2 linked regions of the Sus scrofa genome follow. The protein of the gene in region 1 interacts with the protein of each later gene in a pairwise test. Links are inferred from orthologs where the notes say so. Each region holds a gene or a part of one and is shown on either strand. Other genes may lie near its edges. The genes, in order: SDCBP2 and TNP1.

What was found.
Region 2: the proteins of SDCBP2 (region 1) and TNP1 interact in binary tests that used the Homo sapiens proteins (3 or more experiments, as listed by UniProt). The two-hybrid records come from large-scale screens. The link is inferred for Sus scrofa from reciprocal best matches to the Homo sapiens genes SDCBP2 and TNP1.

What each region holds. Positions count from the first base shown.
Region 1 is NC_010459.5:33,976,890-33,980,710, forward strand, and holds part of SDCBP2 (syntenin-2), read left to right. Parts: exon of another isoform or gene 1-225; intron 226-384; exon of another isoform or gene 385-440; 5' UTR 441-459; coding exon 460-513; intron 514-1,163; coding exon 1,164-1,230; intron 1,231-1,836; coding exon 1,837-1,937; intron 1,938-3,821.
Region 2 is NC_010457.5:119,036,799-119,039,645, reverse strand, and holds TNP1 (spermatid nuclear transition protein 1), read left to right. Parts: upstream 1-1,546; 5' UTR 1,547-1,585; coding exon 1,586-1,724; intron 1,725-1,920; coding exon 1,921-1,949; 3' UTR 1,950-2,154; downstream 2,155-2,847. UniProt on the Homo sapiens protein: Plays a key role in the replacement of histones to protamine in the elongating spermatids of mammals.

The sequences.
Region 1 (3,821 bases):
AAGTCCCCACCCACTTGACACTGGACTGAACCCTGCATGGTTGTGGGATGATGCTACGCAAACCCCTAGCGCCGCCTGGGTATACAGCAGCTGCTCACCAACCTCTTCTGTTGGACTGAATCTAGGTCTTGAGTGATCAGACCTCAGAAGCCTGTCTGGCCTTTGAAACGCGGCCCCTCATCCTGCTTTGCCTGGTCAGCCTGTCTGGGGTGATCTCTGGCCCAGGTTCGAAAGCCCAGACTCTGCGGAACGTGATGGGCTGGGATTCTGCAGGGATGGAGAGCTTGGGTCCAGGAACTAAACAGACTTTGGGTCAGATCTCAGCTGCCCCATCTCTAAAATGGGGATAGTAACACCTTCCTGACGTCTTTCTCATCCTGACAGTGCTGAGTGACGTCCATCCGAGCCTCCTCTCACCCCTCACCCTCTGTGCCCTGCAGTGTGTTCCAAAGAGCAGCCATGTCCACCCTGTACCCATCTCTGGAGGACCTGAAGGTGGACCAAGCCATGCAGGTAAACCGCCAGGCTGTTCACTGAGTCCCCTGATGGGGCCCTGGGGATTATCCCAGGGTAACTAAGGGGGACTTGTCTTGGGTCAAGTGTTGTGGGCCCCTGGGAGTTCCTGATAGGCCCCAAGGCCCATGGGCCCCCTCTGCAGGGCCTGCTGGGCAAAGCAGGTGTCTAGAGGCTGAGGCAAGGCAGTTACAGCAGAAATGGAGAAACCAAAGGGCTGCAGACAGACCTGTCTCGTGCCAGCCCCACCCTAGCGCTTCCTCCACCCAAGCTCGGGCAGACCCCACGCTCTAAGACAAGCTTCCAGAGGAGACCCCAGCGTCTGGTCTACTCAGCCCAGAAACCCCTTCCTCTTTCCATCCCACATGATGTCCTAGTGGGTTTTGAGCACTGGGGACTTTTTGACTGAGAATTTGTCTGGCTGCCTCAGGTGGTAAATAAGCCGTGACATCTGGGGGATCATGGGCCCCAGGAGAACCCCCTTCCAGAAGCACGGACATCTCCAGAGGCCACATTTTCACAAAGGGTCATGAACACCCCTCCCCCTGGCCCACCAGCATTCCTAATGCCCTAACCCCCAGCTCCAGGGAGCCCCAGGCTCCAGGGGCTCTGGGGGTCTCGGCCACAGCTGACCCCTCCTTCCTCCCCAGGCCCAGGCCAGAGTCGTCCCCAGGATGCCCGCCCTGCCAGTGCCAGAACATGACTCCCGGCCTCCAGGTGAGTGGCCTGGGTGCTCCAGGCTGAGAGTGACCTCTCCTGGCCATTTCCCAGTGCCAGCCTCTTGCCTGCCACTGAGGAAGCTGCAGCTCTGCAAGGGCACCCGCTGCCCTGACTTGGGGCCCCAAAGAAGGCTGCATGAGGAGACCAGGATGGGTGTGGTGGCCCTGGAGTTGCTTGTGGCCGCCTCGATTCAGGTCCTGTGGTAGCGAACTTGAACTCAGGACCAGCTCTTGCCCTCCTCGCCATGCAGTTTCCCGGAGCTGACCTGGGGTGGGACGCCTGCCTCCGGCAGCACGGGTGCTGTCCTTTGTGTTTGATGTCTGGCTGATGCCAAATAAAGTCATTTGAGTTGAACCAAAGTGGTACCTGAGGGAGGTTCCAGGCCACTCCTGGAGAAAGCGGACGGTCATTGTCACTGCCAGCGAGCGATCCCAGGGATGCAGCGTGCTCTCAAGGGTATGCTGCATTCTCGCGAGTAAACAGCATCCCCAGGCCTGGTTTCTTCATAAAAATGAGTGACCGCCTGGGAGCCAGGTGGGTGTGGCTAAGCTCATGCCCAGGGTAACACATTTTTTCTTCCTTCCTCCCTTCCCTTCCCATCAGTTTTGTACCCAAACCTGGCGGAATTGGAAAATTATATGGGTCTTTCCCTCTCCAGCCAAGAAGTCCAGCAGAACCTGCCTCAGATTCCAGAAGGGGCCAGGGTAGGTATCTGTCTCTTGGTATCCCTCCTTCTTGGTCTTGCCATTTAAACAGACTTGAAACAATCCTTCCCCAGCATTGCTGTGCCTCTGTTTCTTGATGGCACTTTTCTTTTCTTTTTTTTTTTTTTTTTTTTTTTTTTTTTTTTGTCTTTCTGCTATTTCTTGGGCCGCTCCGACGGCATATGGAGGTTCCCAGGCTAGGGATCGAATCGGAGCTGTAGCCACCGGCCCACGCCAGAGCCACAGCAACGTGGGATCCGAGCCGCGTCTGTAACCTACACCACAGCTCACGGCAACGCCGGATCGTTAACCCACTGAGCAAGGGCAGGGACCGAACCCGTAACCTCATGGTCCCTAGTCGGATTCGTTAACCACTGCACCACGACGGGAACTCCTCACTTTTCATTTTTGAGTCTTCGTTTTAAGGGCTGTGAGATTTTGTGGTTTTCCATGGGCCTTGGGGCTGGAGGGCTGCTGCCTGCTCTTTGACCTCTGACCTGCCGGCCTGAGCCTGCTGGATGAGAAAGGAGGGCATTAAACCAGGCCTGAGCCCAGGCATTTTTAATGAAGAGCGGCCTGTGACTTGAGAGAAGATGTATTTTTTTTTTTTTTTTTTGAGTTCCCATTGTGGCTCTGTGGTAACATACCCGACTGGTATCCATGAGGATGTGGGTTCGATTTCTGGCCTCGCTCAGTGGGTTAGGGATCTGGTGCTGCTGCAAGTTGCACTGTAGGTTGCAGATGCGGCATGGATCCTGCATTGCTGTGGCTGTGGTGCAGGCTGGCAGCTGCAGCTCCAACTTGACCCCTCGCCTAGGAACTTCCATGTGCCGCAGGTGCAGCCATAAAAAGATAAAACAACAACAAAGCAGGCATTTTACATTGATACAATGTGTGTCTAAGGTTCTAGGTCATTTTATCCCTGGAAACTATCAACATAATCAAGATATAGAACGAGGTCATCACTGCAAAGCTCTCTCTTGTGTGGCCCCTTCGTAATCATGCCCAGCCTCCCCTCACCAGCCCCAGTCCCCGGCAACCATGAGCATGTTTTTGTCCCTATAATTTTGCCATTTCAGAAGGTTATGTAAGTGGCATCACATAGTGTGTGACCTTTTCAGACAGGCTCTTTCCACTCGGCATCATGCCCCAGAGATCTCTCCAGGCTGTTGTGTGTATCAACTCTTCATGCCTTTTAATTGCTTGGTTGTGTTCCCTGGTATGGATGTAGCCTGGTTTGTTTCACCCATTAAGGGACATTTTAGTTGTTTCTAAGACTAAGCTATTATGGATGTTTGTGCCCAGCTTTTTGTACAGACCTAAGTTTTCGTTTCTCTGGGATAAATGTCCAGGAGTGCAATTGCTAGATAGTGTGATAAATATACGTCTAACCTTTTTTTTTTTTTGGTCTTTTTGTCTTTTTAGGGCTGCCCCTGTCACATCTGGAGGTTCCCAGGCTAGGGGTCGAATCAGAGCTACAGCTGCCGGCCTACCCCATAGCCATAGCCACATCTGCGACCTACACCACAGCTTGAGGCAATACGGGACCCTTAACCCACTGAGCGAGGCTAGGGATAGAACCAGCAACCTCATGGTTCCTAGTGGGATTCGTTTCCACTATACCATAATGGGAACTCTTTTTTTTTTCTTTTTTTTTAAAGAAACTTTTTCCAGGAGTTTCCGTCATGGCTCAGTGGTTAACAAATCCGACTAGGAACCGTGACGTTGCAGGTTTGATCCCTAGCCTTGCTCAGTGGGTTAAGGGTCCGGCGTTGCCGGGAGCTGTGATGTAGGTCGAAGATGCAGCTTGGATCTGACGCTGCTGTGGCTGTGGTGTAGGCCAGCAGCTTACAACTCTGATTCGACCCCTAGTCTGGGAACCTC
Region 2 (2,847 bases), on another chromosome or scaffold:
ACAAAATAATAAAACCTACTTCCCTCACCCTCTGCTCTCTTCAACCAAATCCAATCCATCACCAAGTCCTTATCTCCTATCTATAGCTCTGCATTCTAATCCCTTTACCCATTTCACCTCCCCATCAATCCATTCTCCATCCAGCAGCCTCTAATCTCATCATATCTTCCCCTTAAACATTTTCCCATGGCTTCCCAATGTACTTAAGCCTGGTCTGGTGTCTGCCTTTCCTCCCAACCTCATCTTGCCCCATATCGAGAAGTGATTATTCATTGATCTATGTTGGCCTGATAATGGGTTTCTCTTCCACTAGGCTGAGAGTGCCATGAACACAGTCTATGTCTGTTTTTACTCACTAATATTTTCCTAGCACTTAAGTGCATGGTACATACTACATGATTAATAAATACTTGCAGACTGAATTTTTTAAATGGCTAAACCAGTGGTTCTCAGCAAAGGGTGAATTTTGCTCCTCCCCACAAGGCAATCTCTGGAAACATTTTTGATTGTCACAGCTGCAGGGGCTGTACTGGCATCTAATGGGTACAGGCCAGGAATTCTGCCAAAACATCCTACCATACATAAGACAATATGAGAATTAGGAAAAGGAAACCTCAACTAAGATCGGAGTTAAGTACCCATAGAGGGAGCTCTCACACTCTACCACTCAGGGTCAATTACCCCCCAACAGGATGGTATCAGTTACTGATTCCAACAGGAAGACATCAGGTACTGACCCCAATAGGAAGTGTAACTACTTTACTACCCCAGCAAAAGGAAGGAAGACTTCCATTGCCCAGCAACAAGCCCAGCCAATGGAAAAGTTCACAACACAGCCAATGAGAGCCATCACCACCTGCCCTTTTACTTTCCTCCAATGAGCTCTCATTGTTTCCTTGTTGAGGACTTCCTTTCCTGCCTGGCTCTCCTTACTGTAAAAGGCTTCCTTGTGGTGCAACCCCTTGGAGTATCTCTCTGTTTGCCAGAGGAGATGCTGCCTGATTCATGAATTATTTAATAAAGCCAGTTAGGTCTTCCAACTTACTCAGTTAAATTTTGTTTTTTAACAACAGTCCCGCATATCCAACCCATAGCGCCAGCTGTGCTCAAGAGTTAGATGAAAGAGAAGAATATTTACATTTTGGTAGTATTGAATTGGATTTCCTAAAGTCCTTAAAGAAACACATTTGTTATCTTCCAATGCTGTAAAGGGAGACAAACAGGATGCATATACACATACTCAACAACCACTAAATCTCCAATAGGCAGGCGACATCTGTTTTAATGGTTCTTATACTCTCCAGATACCTAGCACAGGGCTGGAATTTAGGTGCTCAACAACACCTGTCTGGAAAATCTCCTAATATCAAAAAAGACCTCAAAATTGAGAGTAGATTTGATCTGCATTAGCAAGGCCACCTTATTTCACCTATATTACCAAAGGGTAATAAAGGGTAGTGACGTCACAATGAGCCTGCCGCCTGCTAAGCCACGCCCCCTGCACAGTCACAATGGCTAAGGCCTTAAATACCCAGACTCCTGGCCCCCTGGCCCTGCAAAGCCCCTCATTTTGGCAGAAAGTACAATGTCGACCAGCCGCAAGTTAAAGAGCCATGGCATGAGGAGGGGCAAGAACCGCGCTCCTCACAAGGGAGTTAAGAGAGGTGGCAGCAAAAGAAAATACCGGAAGGGCAGCCTGAAGAGTAGAAAACGGTGCGATGATGGTGAGTGAGGGATGAGTGGGAGAGCTGTCAGACAAGGGGCATCCTGTCGCCCCAGGGCCCTCCCTGTAGGAGTCAGCACTCATGGGACCCTGAAACCTCAGGCTAAGTTCATTTTCCATTAGGTTCCTATGTGGGCAGGAAGAGGATGAATATGTTCTAACTGGTGTTGTTGGTGCAAACTTATCTTTTCCTACAGCCAATCGCAATTACCGCTCCCACTTGTGACTCCACCAGCGGCTCTCCCCTGGTAGACTTCAAGGACACCAGGCAGCAACAGAGAACAGAAGGAGGACTACCAAGGAGACCTGAAGTTAGGTCAATGCCAGAGAAGAGCCTATCATGTGGGTAAAATGCCAGTTGCGACAAAATGAGGAATGTATATGTTGGCTGTTTCTCTCCAACATCTCAATAAAATTTTGAAAACTGAAAAGTATGTTTCCTTTGCTCTTTTGGTTGGACAGTGGTTTCCCTAGCTGGGCAGACTTGGGGGAAAATTAGCAGATATACCATGAAACATGACATGGAAAATATCAGAGTAATTTGTCTTTGTAGCTCTCTCCCCAGCTTGGGCCATGCATCAGCACCATGTAGAGGTCTTATTCTCAAGGTACTGTCTACCTCCCCAACATGGAAAGGGGAGATAAAAGGAGAAATGGGAGACATACAATACAATTATGAAGCAAAGGGTACAAGGGGACTAGAACATGGAAACACCAAACCATGAGCTAAAGCTAAAGACATGGCTCAGGAGTTCCCGTCATGGCTCAGCAGTTAATAAACCCCACTAGTATCCATGAGGGCATGGGTTTAATCCCTGGCCTCACTCAGTGGGTTAAGGATTTGATGTTGCCATGAGCTGTGGTGTAGGTCACAGACAATTCGACCCCTAGTCTGGGAATCTCCATTTGCCGCGAGTGCGGCCCTAAAAAGACAAAAAATTAGACATGGCTCAGAGGATAGAGAGCCCTCAGTGCTTCCAATTCATCTGATTGCGTGGGCATGATTAGCAGGTTGTTAGGGATACATCTGGGCAGAGGCCAACCTGCACTTGTAAAAGCCTCATTGGGTTTGAGATGGACAAGACCAGAGGCAAGGATACTGCCTAGGAGACTCAATTCAAGCC